Caenorhabditis elegans: one gene and its partner. The protein of the gene in region 1 interacts with the protein of each later gene in a biochemical or structural test. Each region holds a gene or a part of one and is shown in the gene's direction. Other genes may lie near its edges.

Evidence for each region. The genes of interacting proteins can lie anywhere in the genome.
Region 2: of the proteins of flp-15 (region 1) and npr-5, one has a biochemical effect on the other in vitro, tested with the Caenorhabditis elegans proteins (one study listed by BioGRID).

Annotation. Positions count from the first base shown.
Region 1 is NC_003281.10:13,662,874-13,669,738, reverse strand, and holds flp-15 (FMRF-Like Peptide), read left to right. Parts: upstream 1-1,899; 5' UTR 1,900-1,935; coding exon 1,936-1,999; intron 2,000-5,682; coding exon 5,683-5,745; intron 5,746-6,054; coding exon 6,055-6,191; 3' UTR 6,192-6,339; downstream 6,340-6,865.
Region 2 is NC_003283.11:276,462-283,482, reverse strand, and holds npr-5 (G-protein coupled receptors family 1 profile domain-containing protein), read left to right. Parts: upstream 1-1,766; 5' UTR 1,767-1,778; coding exon 1,779-1,927; intron 1,928-2,711; coding exon 2,712-2,903; intron 2,904-3,087; coding exon 3,088-3,244; intron 3,245-3,905; coding exon 3,906-4,112; intron 4,113-4,208; coding exon 4,209-4,437; intron 4,438-5,150; coding exon 5,151-5,308; intron 5,309-5,442; coding exon 5,443-5,516; intron 5,517-6,113; coding exon 6,114-6,249; 3' UTR 6,250-6,497; downstream 6,498-7,021.

The DNA of each region.
Region 1 (6,865 bases):
TGCAGACCTTTGAGATGTCGGCTGGTATAAGTTCTTTTACAAGTGAGTTGAAAAATATTGCAATAACTAACTGAATGCAAAAAACTGGCTCAAAATGTTAGCTTACAACTTTTTTGTAAATCGACGCTGTAAAAAGTTATAGCTCCCAAACCTGTTGGCTAACGTTTTTCAGAAGTGTTTTGAAAAGTTTTCGACTACTAAAATGTACAACAATGTTGGCTAGTAATTTTCATCGGTTGCTATATAGGTTTACAAATACTTTTTCATTTTGCCAGTTGATAATTTTTCAAATAGCAATATCACGGAAGCTGTTGAATGTTGAATATTGAATCTGAATGTTGAAAATCGCCTATATTGCAGGTTTAATTTTGAAACCTACGAGGCGTCTGTTGTTACAACTTGTTACTAGGTTAGGATATTTTTCAATTATCAAAATTTTCAAACTACAATAAAAATATATCATTGAAAAAAAAATGAAGAAAACGGAATTTTAAACACCGAAAAAAAACACTCGCTGAATTAATTCGGCGGGCAGAATTTTAAATTTTTTCCCGAAATCTTGAATTCCGAAAATCTATCCAATATAACGCGGAAAATTTTAAACGGTGTCTTGAATTCTGCCAATATCTCAATTCTGTTTCAAAAAAAAAGCCATTGAGGATTGAGTTATTATCAAAATTTTGTAAAACTTTCAAATTTCGAAATATAATTTTGCTCAATTTTATTTAAGTTGATACTTAAAAATGTATTTAAAAAAAGGTTCCAAGTTTTTCCCCTCAACTTCTCATCTCAACAAACTACAGAAATACCATTTCCACTTTGTTAGTTCCGTTAATTGCATACATAAAAGTCAATTGTCTCTCTGCAATATTGTGCCGGTTTCGTTTGAAATATGACCGAATTATGGATACACACGGGGCTACAGTAACACGACACCATTTTCAAGTGACAACAACTGGTGTAATAATTACCAGGTGTAATTATTGCCGCTCTGAAGTTTTTGGGGATGCGGCGGTCCAATAAGGGGTACTGTACGCTAGGTCACGCCTGTTTCATGGTTCTGAAACTTTGAAGTTATCGTTTTTAATATAATCTGAAAGTTATGAACATAAATTTTTTTTAAAAACAAAGGCTATAGTTGGGTTTTTTTAAATTCGAAGTTCTCGTTAGAAAGGGGTTGTGAATTAGAGTGCCAATCAGGGGTGCGCGGGAATTCTACAAAATGAGACGGTTGGGAATGTTCCCCCGATATTATTCGTTAAAATTTAATGGTACAATATAGAAAATATTTGCATTACTTGAAAATAACTGTTATTTCAGTAAAAAATATTGGAAAAATCTTCAAAAATCGTCTGAATGTTGAAAATTGCCGAAAAATTGACGCCAGTTTTCCACATTCGGACAATTTTTGAACACTTTCTCGGTTGTTATAAGTCAAATAAAAATTAATAGTAGTTTACAGGAAGTGTTCCTAAAGCTGAAATAACCACTCAAAACTCGTTCTTTGCAAAATTTAGTATTTTGTGTCATATCTACTGAATTCAGTCTGCCCCGCTACTTCAAATTTTTATATTGTCAGTTGGTATCACCGGAATCCATTTTTTTTCAAATTTTTTGATATTATCTGCAAAATTAATCTGAAAAATATATAGAATAGTATTTTAAGCGTTGAACTTTTTTGGTCACTTATATATGTGCCAAACTCCTGAATTCGGAGCAAACTTCAAAAGTGGTGTCAGGTTTTGTTGAAAAGTGGTACCTTTTCCCCAATTTCAAAATTTTCATTTCAAAAAATATCAAGTTTCTGACTGCTCATCAATAACTACAGAGCTGCGCAAAGGGCGGAGCTCAGATCCCGCCCTATCTGCTCGTGTGCGCTTTCGCAAGAGCTTTCGGCTCATTTTTTGGAAGAAGGTCTCCCACATACACCTCGTCATGCAGTTCTCCACGCTTATTCGAGTTGCAGTTTTTGCGGTTTTGGCAATTGCTACACTTGCAGGTAAGAGTTGTTGGCTAGATTTGCAAACTGAAAATACGATACGGATTCTATACAATACGAAAAATCAAAAAGATTAGGTTTTTTACGGAGTTTTATACATGTTTGGGTGAGTTGACCAGCTTTAGTTATAACTGCAGGTTTGAGAAGCATAATGGCTGAATAAATAAGTTTTAAAAAATGTATTCTCCGAGTGACGAATTCAAAAACTTATGATACATATCCTCGTGATCCGATTTCCAGCAAACTTGATATTTAGTTTCAAAAGTTTACATCATTTCGACATTCTGACAGGCAAATTGGCGGTTTACTCAAAACAGAGCTCGCCATTTAAGTCAAGTTGAACTTTAGTCAGTCAGATTGTAGATAATAAATCAAAGAAGTATGGAAATTTTTTAGCAACACCCAAATGTAACGGGGGATTATAACAAAAAAATTAACTGTCAAGTTTTTACTTTGGTGAGACTGGAGCAAAAACAAGAAAAACATTTAAAACAAATTGATAATAAATCGACCAAAAAATTCACTATAACTTGCCAGATTTTTTAAAATTGCTTTACTACCCTCAAAATTGTCTGAAAACGCAGACTTCTTAAAAACTTCTCGAAAAAAAAGTTATGACGGCTCAAAAAATGGTCTAAAAACTGTTTTGAAATTACCGTCAAATTTTGGGTATAAAATTTAGTTATCATGCGTTATCAACTCGATTTAGTAAGCCAATAGACGAAGAAATTTGGTAAAAATGTTTAAAATCTTTTGGTCCATCGACTTTAAAATAACTAAATCGAGTTGAAAAGGCAAAATAATTACATATACTCATATACTCAAAATTTGGCGGTGATTTAAAACAATGTTATCAGCCGCTGCGACATTGACAATTCCGTCAAATTTCAAATTTTGACTAATATTAGGCCCTTTTTTGAGCCGTATAACTATTTTTTTGAGAAGTTTTCATGAAGTTTCATTATGAAATTCGGGTGTTGTCAGACAATTTTGAGTCTAATAAAGCAATAAAAAACATTTTTACAAGTTATTTGTTACCAGTTACATTGTAACTGGTAACAAATTTTTGACAGCTCTAAAATTATAAATATATAATTTCAAAATTTCGATGACATCACCCTACCGTAACCCTGTCAGTTTTGATCCATTCCTCCATCATTTCTTGTCATTTCCTAATTCCACTTTCTTTGTTCTTTTCCCATTTGTCATTCAACAATCCCCTCCCTTACTCCTCCGCTTGTGTAGTTTAGTAGTAAAATTTTTGGAAAAATTCTGACTTTACGGATCACTGGGCTCCGGAAGTGAAAAGGTAAGGGTTTAGAAGTCAGAAAACTGAAGTTTTTAGATTTGTAAGTGGAAAAGTGCAAAAGATCGTTAAAATGTTTAAATCGGTTGTAAACGATGATGAAATTGATTTTGAAAGTCGCAAAACATTTTCGACAGCTTGAAATAGTGCCGGAAGCTGATAGTTTTTCCAAAAGCGTCGAAATTTGCAAAAAAAAACATCAAAAACTGTTTAAAAGTTTCAAAAATTTGCCAAAAGTTCATGAAAAGCCGAAGAGCTAGCGAAAATTAGTCAAGAGTTTTAGGAATATTCCAAAAATTGCCAAATTTTTAAAGACATTATTTTAAAAGCTGCCGAATTTTTTTGTGAGGATTTGATGATTGATCAAGAGTTTGGGCAAATTTCAAAATTCTTATAATTTTTCAAAAATTGTTTTCATTTTTTATAGAATATCGGTAATTTTGAAAAGTATTATTGCCGAATTTCGTGCAACAACTATTTTTAAGACAAAATTCAAATTATTTGAGATTTACAAGTTGCCAAAGAACCGTAGATAAAAATTTTATAATTCCTATTTCAAAATCAAAATGTCTCTAGTCTAAGGTGTAAGGGATTAAAACTTCCCACTAAAACTTCCAAATTTGTCACCACCCACGCCCGTCTACATAGTAGTGTCTTCTTCTTCTTCTTGTTTTGTCATAATATGTACACATGTATCAACCATAAAGAGGAGCCATTTGCATCGATTTTCATTCATTTCCACACTCCAGGGTCTAACTTTGGTAAGGTTTTATTGGCGGTGCACGTCCACTGGGGGTCGTCAGGCGATTAGTTTGAAAGTTTGAAACCAATGAGCAACACATGGGGCTCGCTTTATTTTGGAAACCTTTAGGAATGATGATGGTTGTGTATTTGAAAATGGGCTGGGGATTTTAATTTTAACAATTTAAAACGCAAGCGGCTAATTTCAAAAGTTAACATTTAAAAGTTAATTATTTTCACTGATCACGAAATTCTTTTGACACAATTTGAGGTTACTGGACAAAATTTTTGCCTTTTGGTACTAAAATTATCAGACGTCGATGATTGACCAAAAATTAGTTTTTTAGACCACAGATTTCAATATTATCAGTATTTTGAAATGCGATTAATTTTCCCAAGAAAATTTAATTAACAACACGATTTTATATTGTTCAAATTTTTTTAGAATTGCAAGTGTAGCAATTAATTTTTTTTTAATTTTAAACTAATATGTCATTTGTTTATTCCAAAATTGAGTTCCAGACGCTGCGACAGCGAGAAGATGGCAAAAATGTTTGATTTTAGCAGAAAATGAGCCTTTTTTCCAGAACTTTGAACTCGTTATAACTTTTTTGAAAAATGTTTAAAACGTTTCATACGAAATTCGGTAGTTTTGGGTCATTTTGGATCTAAAAAACAAAGTCTCGGATTTCGGTACTCCACCGTTAAACATTTATACCGAAGCAAGATAAAATAGGCATAGCAGCAGACTACAAAATTAGAGAGAAAACATTAGAGAGAATTGCAAAAAAATTTCAGTTGACAATAGTTTGATAAACTATTGAAGTTGGTTAAGAATTATTTATACTTTCAAAAAAAAGTTCGTCACACAAACCCGTTACCTAAAAATTCCAAAAACTCAGCTAGTCAAACAAAACGAGCTTCCTTGTCTAATTTATTCTTTTGTTCTTTTCTCTCACTTTGATAATGAAAACTTGACAAATTCTTCGTTTTTTTTCGAGAGCATCACGTTTATGCAGATGAGGGGGTAGATGTTTGAGATGAGTGATAAAAGATTGAATATTTTATGAAAAAAAAAGTTGGGGGAGATTTTTCTTTTTTTGGGTGCTGAGGTCAAACGGGGCAACATTCAAAATTTTGAGATTCTTTCCCAAAAAAGTACTACTAAACTGCCGGAATTGTCGAAAGTTTACCAAAGCTTTTGTCAAAAATTGTCTGATTGATTTTCCAGCAAATTTTCATTTTTTCAATTGAAATTTTTAAACAGAGTGTAGAAATTTCAAAATTTTGGCACAAAATGCATCTCAAATTACCAGAAGACAAAACAAAAAAATTGTGCCAAAAGTTTCACACGGCGTCCATTCGAATTATTTATGGAAAAATGATATGTACGTGTGTCGGAAGTGGGTTTCATGTGAGAATTTTTGTGAATTTTAAACAAATATTTAGAAAGTGGAAAATGAGAAAAAAAAAACGTCACTTTATAAATAAACTTGAAAGGATTCAGAAGGAATTTGATATTTCCAAGATTGGAACAATGGGAATTAAAAACTAATAAGTAGTAATTAAAAGCTCAAACTATGACTTTCAAATGAACCAAAATTTCAAAAAAAAAACAAGCATTCTAAAATTGCAGATTACGACGACAATTCGGTCGGAACAATCCCAGTGGCTGTTGATTTGGACTACTTTTCCAATTGTAAGCTTTTGAATTGTTAACTTAAAAAATGAAAATCACAAAGTTTTAAAACATTTGTTTATTCAAAACTTTTCGATCTCTTAAGTTTCTAAAAAGATATCAGCATTTCAAAAAATGTTCAGAAATACATTTTATCGCTGAATTCAAGTGAGAATACCATTTTGAAAATTAATACTTTTAAAAACATTTATAACAAATAAGTTTTCTATCTATTTTCAGTTAAAACTTTTTTATATCTCAAACGGTTTGATTGCTTTTTAACCTACCAATTTTTTTATGTTTGGTGACCACTTTATGCTAAATTTTCAGACGTAAAGAAAGGCGGACCCCAGGGACCACTTCGATTCGGAAAACGACGTGGACCATCTGGACCTCTCCGTTTTGGAAAGCGATCATCATTCCACGTGGCACCTGCTGCTGAAGACGTCGCGTCGTGGTACCAGTAAATAATTTGGAGAGCGGTCATTTTCTTGCCAACAACTTTTTTCTCCCCGATTCCGTTCCCCCGTTTTTCCATCCCTCACCTGACTGTGCTGCATGTGTTTCTATGAAATAAATAAGATGATTGGTTAATAAAATATGTTTTCAAGTTAATTATATTATTATTATTATTATTATATCATTATCGATGAACTTATAACAATTTTCAGAAAATGTCTGTCAAATGGATGAAAGTTTTGATATTCTTTATTTCGAGTAGTCGGCAACCAGCAAATTTCTAACTTTGAAATCGTGTTAACTCTGTAAACAGGGTGCACGGCAATTGCTTATTGCCGAAAATTCACAAAACCGACAATTGCCAAAGTTGCCAATTGCCGGAGATTTTGAAACCCAGCAATTGCCGAAATTGCCGATTGCTGAAATTCAGAATCGCCGGAAATATAAATTCGATACTTTTTGTAGATTTACGAAACTCAACATGAATTTTAATGGACAATTTTCTCTTTTCAAGCTCGGCATGATTTAATCCTTGAATGAAAATCGGCAATTTCGGCAATTACCAAAATTTCCGATTACCGCGCACCCATGTCTGTAACTAATGAACTATTGATCATTGAACTTTGGAAACTCAGAAAATTGAAAATGGTCGATGTTTTATTTTCTGAAACTCTTTTTTTTC
Region 2 (7,021 bases), on another chromosome or scaffold:
TTTTTTTAAGCAAAAATCATTATTATTTTTTATTTCTTCATAATTTTTGGATTCAAAAAGTTGAAATTTACCACTGTAAAAATTTTCATATAATTTTTTAACCGCACAACACTGGTAGGTAGGCACATTTAAAACACGCGCCTGTCTACCTGAAACTTTTCTAAAAAATTCCCATCTCACTGCTTCTTCTTATATCGTTATTCTTGCTCCTCAAACTCAACACCCCCCCCCCATTGAGCTCACCCATAAAAACCTTCTAAACTACCTGCCTACCTTCAAATTCCCACACCAGGTGATAGTCTTCTCGTAGTGTTCTCAAATTTCACTAGACATACTGCCGGCTCACGCAGTTTTTAAGAATCCTCCTTCTCCATCTCCACTCGCCGTAAAAACGTCAAAGATTATCGCATCTCCGCCCTATCTCCGTCCAATTGCTCTAATCTTGTTGAACCTTATTTCTCTCTCTCCTTTCTTCTCCATCTTTTTTTGCTCTAAAAGCCAAAAGTGTGCTCTGATAATCTTATCATATCATTTGCAGAATTTTAGACTCCAATACTTTATAAAATTTTGTTGTTTCATTAGTAAATGTTCTAAAAATACCTCGAAAAAACCCCGTCACTTAAATGGAATTGGAATTTTTTTGGCATTCGAAAAAATGTTTTAAAACTAAACTATCATTTTTGAACTTTACTTTAAACTTACAAATTTGTTATTAAAACAAAGCCTATAATTGTGGTAGGCAGGGAAGGCGCCTCAGGCAAGCCCAATTGCCTGATGCTTACCTGAAAAGTTAGGCCCAAGAAAAATTGGTAGTCAAAAATTGGTAGTCATATAATAATGATGCGAGTTTCCTGTGACCCCCTTTTACATATTTCATTCATCAAATTGCCATTGAACCAAACATTAGTCACACTTTATCCACCTTATCACGCTGAATACCTCCAAATTTTGGGTGAATTGTTAGAAGCTAGCTTTATTCCTAGGAGCCATGTGACTTTTTTCAAGCTTAAATTTTAAATAATTGATGTTTTTTAATAGGTCAAAAATGGACTGGTGATCGGTCAAGGGAGAGCTTTTCTTTATTTAATCTCTTTGTTATCTTTGTCAAATTTTTTTTGTGTGACGTACATATAATAATTTATTTTTACACTTTTTGTTGGAAGCCCATAGGTCAAAAACCAAGGATTTACTGGGAAGACTGAGACATTTAGATAATTTTTTTGATTTTTTAAAGGTTTTTTGTTTAGTCCTAAAATTATGGAGATTATTCTTTGTTTTTTGAACTACCTGGCACATTTTAAAGCGGGTTTCGAGATTGATTTATTTAACTTCATTAACATAACAATTTATGTAAAATTTGATTTTTTTTTTGAAAATCTAAAAAAAAGAATCTAAAAATATAAAAATTTTACTTCCCGAACAATAGCTCAAAATTTTTACCATTTTTCTTTTTTTTAGAAGAAATTTCCTTTTTTTTTTCATCGACTGAAATTTGATAGAAAATTGGATTTTATGATTAATTTCCAGAACACGCTTTTCGATTTTCCCATTTTAGAAAAAAACATTTTTCGATTTTCGAATTTAAAAAATTTAAAAACTCTAAAATTTTCAACGATATTTTTATTTTATGGATTTTATGCATGTAATTTTCTTCAAAACGTTTTTATGTGATTTTGACTTTTTTGAATTTTTTTTTTCAAATCCTTTTATCGATTATATTACCCCTCTGAAAGATTCTCTCTTTAATATCAAATTTTCAATTCCAGAACCTTCGATGCATGGTTAGTTCGGCGGCCACCATTTCGACCATTTCAACCACAACGACTCCCTCCACCATCAGCAACGTTATCACAAGTCATTCGAACAATGGCTCGTGCATTCAGATCGCTGAGGCGATTGCGGCACAAGGCATCGATGATATTACTGTGTAAGTTTTGGGTATCCTGGATGGATTTTCTAACTTATAATTTCCAAAAAAACCTGTCAACTTTTCTCACCACAAAAATCACAATTTCCGTCATAGTTCAACGATCTCATCTTTTTCACCCAAAACCGCTCGAGAGACTTGTCCTCAAACATTTCAACTTTTGACATGTGGCTGACGAGTGACATGGAAAAGTGCTCTCTTTCTCATTTTCCTTGGAGAAAAATCAATTGGCAAATTTTTGTTATCATTATCAGTGTGAGAAAAGTTGTTGAGAACTAGGGTGGAGAGAGATAGATGATACAGTTGTTGTGACATCCGACAGCTGTGTGCTCTTGACATTTTTTTCAAATGTTCTTGAGCTGGAAGCATCCATGAAAATTAAATGGGGACATTAAACTGGCGATCGCAGGGAAACAAAAAGAGAAAGTTTGAATACCTTAGATAACTTAGCAGCCGACATTTCAAGGGTATGTCTAACGTCGTTGCTCTTCTAGATTTAGCAGCCGACATATTACTGTAATGAACGACGTCCCTCCTCTGTCACACTAAAGCTGTAAGAAAGTGACGTGGAACATGACCGAGAGATGTCTGCCGCACTGTGTGGTCACTTCCTTTGACAAGTAGCGGTAGACACCTCGCGGGCATGATTGGCGTAACTTTTTCTGCCACGTGTAGCACCCGACACCTTACGGTTTGTATGACGTCATTTTTTTGTCTCACGTGCCGGCCATACTCAAAGTCCTACCCTCTCCTCCCCTACACTCAAAAAATCAAATTTTTGCAGAGACTTTTACATCCGATCAATCTTCACATTCCTCTACGGGTTCCTGTTTGTATTAGGCATTTTTGGAAACGGCGGCGTACTATGGGCGGTGGCGAGAAACAAGCGGCTCCAATCGGCTCGCAACGTATTTCTGCTCAACTTGATCTTCACCGATTTGATATTGGTGTTCACAGCGATTCCAGTCACACCATGGTATGGATTTTTGTGAAAATTTTGAGGGAAATTGTTTAATTTTTATAACCTAAACTTTTACTGCAATGAAAATTGAGTAATTTTCAAAAAAAATTGTTAAAATTTTTGAGCAAGTTTTTTTAGGTGAATATCTCCTGTAGAATATGTTATGAATTTTTTCTTTCAAAAAATTCCCATTTTCCAGGTACGCGATGACCAAAGACTGGGCATTCGGGTCAGTGATGTGCCATTTAGTTCCTTTGTCAAATTCGTGTTCGGTGTTTGTGACGAGTTGGAGCCTCACTGCAATCTCCTTAGATAAATTTCTGCATATCAACGATCCCACCAAACAACCAGTTTCTGTAAGTTTTTTTCGAAATGTGCTAGATATTTCTGAAGCTTCATGAATATTCTGAAATGAGCTAGAAATTTCTGGATAGTTCTGGAATTTTATTGTAGTTTTTAAATTTTTTTTGGATATTATTGAATTTTTCTAAAATTCCTTGAATTTTCTGCAAGTTTTCAAATCTTTCTGGAAGACTCGAGAATTTTTTCTGAAGTGTTCTAGAAATTTCTGTACTACTTCAGACTTTTTTTTTGGAAAGGTTATACATTTTTTATTGTTTTAGAATTATCGGGAAGCTTTCAGAATTTTTTGAGTTTTCTGCAACGCTTTAAAAATTTCTGGACATTAAATTTTTTTTTGAGATTCCCATAATTTTCTAGAAATTCCTTGAGTTTTCTGGGATGTTTTATAATTTTCTACAAGGTTTTAGAATTTTCTGACAGGTTCTGTAATTTTTTTGAATGTTTTAGAAATTTCTTGAAGCTTCTTAAATTTTTTGGAAGGCTGTTAACATTTCAGGAATGTCCAAGAGGTTTTTGTTTAAATTTTCTAATCTTGAAGTTTTTGGATTTGTCCAAAAAATCTAGGAAATTCTGGATAGTTTTAAATTTTTCCGGTTAAAACTCATTTTTAAAATTAAAAAAAAAAACCATTTTCGAATTTCATTTTCTTTCCAGATTCGTCAAGCGTTGGCAATAACATTTCTTATCTGGATAGTCTCAACACTGATAAATCTACCGTATCTTATGTCTTTCGAGCACGTCGATGGAAGCTTTTACGTTCAGCCCGGAGAAACTCCATACTGCGGGCACTTTTGCGACGAGGCGAATTGGCAGAGCGAAAATAGTCGAAAGATTTACGGAACTACGGTTATGTTGTTACAGGTGAGCAAAAACACGCTGACCTAACAACCATAAAAATTTTGCAAACCTAAATTTTTAAAACTTTTGAAATTTTCCTACATACGTCCAAATTTGCAGTTCGTCGTGCCGATGGCAGTGATCACGTATTGCTACTTCAAAATCTTGCAAAAAGTGTCAAAAGACATGATCATCCAAAATGCTCAATTCTGTCAATCACTGACACAAAAGCAGAGAAGTGATGCGACGTCACGAAAGAAGAAAGTGAATTATATTCTAATTGCAATGGTTGTCACATTTATCGGGTGTTGGTTGCCTTTAACATTACTCAATTTGGTCAAAGATTTTAGTGAGTTTTTATTTGTTTTTTGGAAAAAAAAATCGTAGTCAACTGTTTTGAAAACGCTAACTATAATTGACAACATTTTCTGCTCAATTTTGTTTTTGACTGTCTTATATTAAAATTAACTTATTAAAGGTTGAATACGGCCCAAATGACTGAAAACTATTACTAAAATGACCAAAAATTATATATAAATTTTTAAAAAAAGTTTGAAAAGTTGTTTAGCTCAACTCGAAATGTCTCAAAAATTCCGAAATTTGTAAAAATTGGTAAAAATTTACACCTTCGCTGAAAATGAGCCATTTTTTCCAAAAATAATCGCCCAAACTTTTTTTTTGAGAAATTTTCAAAACGCCTCACTACAAAATTTGGTAATTTTGGGCCATTTTTGGTCTGAAAAACGAAATCTCTTCTCAGCACAGCACGTTCAATTAGTCGTAACATGGGCTCTTAAATTGAAAAAGGTCAAAATGTATAGTTTGTAAAAATGAGCAAAATGTGGTTAGTTTATAATTTGGTGAAAATTTATGCTGCTCAATCCAAGTCGGTGTAATGTTACGAAAAGGAAGCCTACATAAAAAGCTTCTGCCTGTGGTAGGTCTATGTAGAATTCCTGCTGTAATTCCTAGTGTGAGCGATTAAAATGTTCGAAAAAATATTTGCCGTAGTTTTCGAAACTTATGTTCAAAATCACTACACATTGAAACCAAAATTTTCAGAAAAAGAGCCCGAATGGCTAAAACGTCAGCCGTTCTTCTGGGCAATAAATGCTCACGTCATAGCCATGTCCTTAGTCGTCTGGAACCCTCTGCTATTCTTTTGGCTGACACGAAAACAAAAACGTTCCGGACTGTCAAAAATACTCAACTCAACAGAGGTGAGTATTGTAAACTTCTTCAAGTCCCCTTGTATAAAGTTTGCTCCTAGCCGTGTGCTCCTGGTGTTCTTCCCGTTTTCCACTGCTTCCTTTGTGTCCCCCCTCTCTTCCTCTGAGCCGCCTTTTGTTTTCAGATTGTGTCCTCGTTTGCCAGTAGAGTGAGTAACTCGATTCGGCGGTCAACGTTTCGGAGAAACAATATTGACAGGTACAGGTTCTCTTCTAACTTTTAAAAAACTCTCTAATCCTCTAACTGCTTGACTTTTCTCGAAAAAATTCTGTTTCCTGGTCTTTTGTACGTTGTTCAAGCTTGATATGGGGTACACATCTCCTCTTTGCGATGGGGCGCGTCTGCCGCGCAGTGCCGTCATGGGTCGTGTACTACTCGTGGACTTTGGAAATTTTTTGGAAATTTTTTCGGGTTTAATTCTAGTTGGCAGAGGCTGGACCAATCGCCGTTAAATTTGCAAGTTTTGAGTTTTTGAATTTATTAAATGCTCTAAATAACAGAGAAAAGCGAGCCATACAAATTTATAGCTAACAAACAGAAAAAATGTTGATTTTCCCGTTTAAATGCGCTTTTTTCAATCCGATAATGCAAGTGCGCTCTACCGAACAAATTAGTGCGCCATGATATCAGTTAGTTGAGCGTAATTTCGAGACTCGATTTGCATGAACCACATAGTCTACTTCCGCCGCAACCGACATTTTCTGGGTTTTGCTAATCCTACAGCAAACCCGGGGGGGGGGGGGTGTCCGCCGCTTCACTAAATACCTTCATATCTTTGAAAATTGTATTTTGCAGGGTTCGAAAAAAGCAGGTGGTTCTGGATTGCGAGGGATCCAGCTACACGACCTCCTCCCGACCTCTACTCATTCGGACAGATGTGCAGGCAACTCTTTCTAATGGCTCGACGAGTACTACCCGCGAGATGCTGTAAATTCTATACGTTACTCCCCTGTGTTCATCTTGCCCGTCTCTCGAAAAATTCCATTATCTTTATTTTCTGTTCATTTTTTGCATAACGAAACGTGCGATTAATCCGGGTCCAGTTCGCTCCGCTTTTTCTCCTCCTAAGACAGCAACCCCACAAAAATCTAATTGCCTTTTTTGTATTTTCTTTGTTTTCTTTTCTTGTTTTTTTTTGTGTCAAAATAGCGTCACCTAATAAAGATGCACGCAAAGAAAAATGGGATTATACAACAGGGAAACGTCTTGAAAATGCACACCGAGCAAGAGGCAAATATTTCTGTGTCTACGAAAATGTAGGGGTGATAAGAGTCCTGAATCACAATTTTAGCAGCACTCGACACTAACCGAGTTCCGGTATTCATCAGATCACCAAACAGCTAAATAGAGGAACCCGGCAGATGTAACAAAAACAAAAATAAGTTTTTTGCATTACTAAACAAATTCAAAAAAATATAAATACAAAAACAACAATTTAAACGCAGAGTATCATTTTCCGGGAATTTCCTTTGAGAGATCAAATATCATGAAAACAATTATCTACTAATTTACTAAAAATTTTAAATTTCTTTCATTTTTATCCGAGAAATTTATCTTCACGAAAAATACTTATTTTAAAAAAACGTACTGTATTGCTCCTACCGTACCATTATTGGCTGTAAAAACGCAACTTTAAATCCAAACAAAATATGTGAATTTCAATTCTTTCAGAAAAAAATATAACAGATTTTTTAAAAATTATT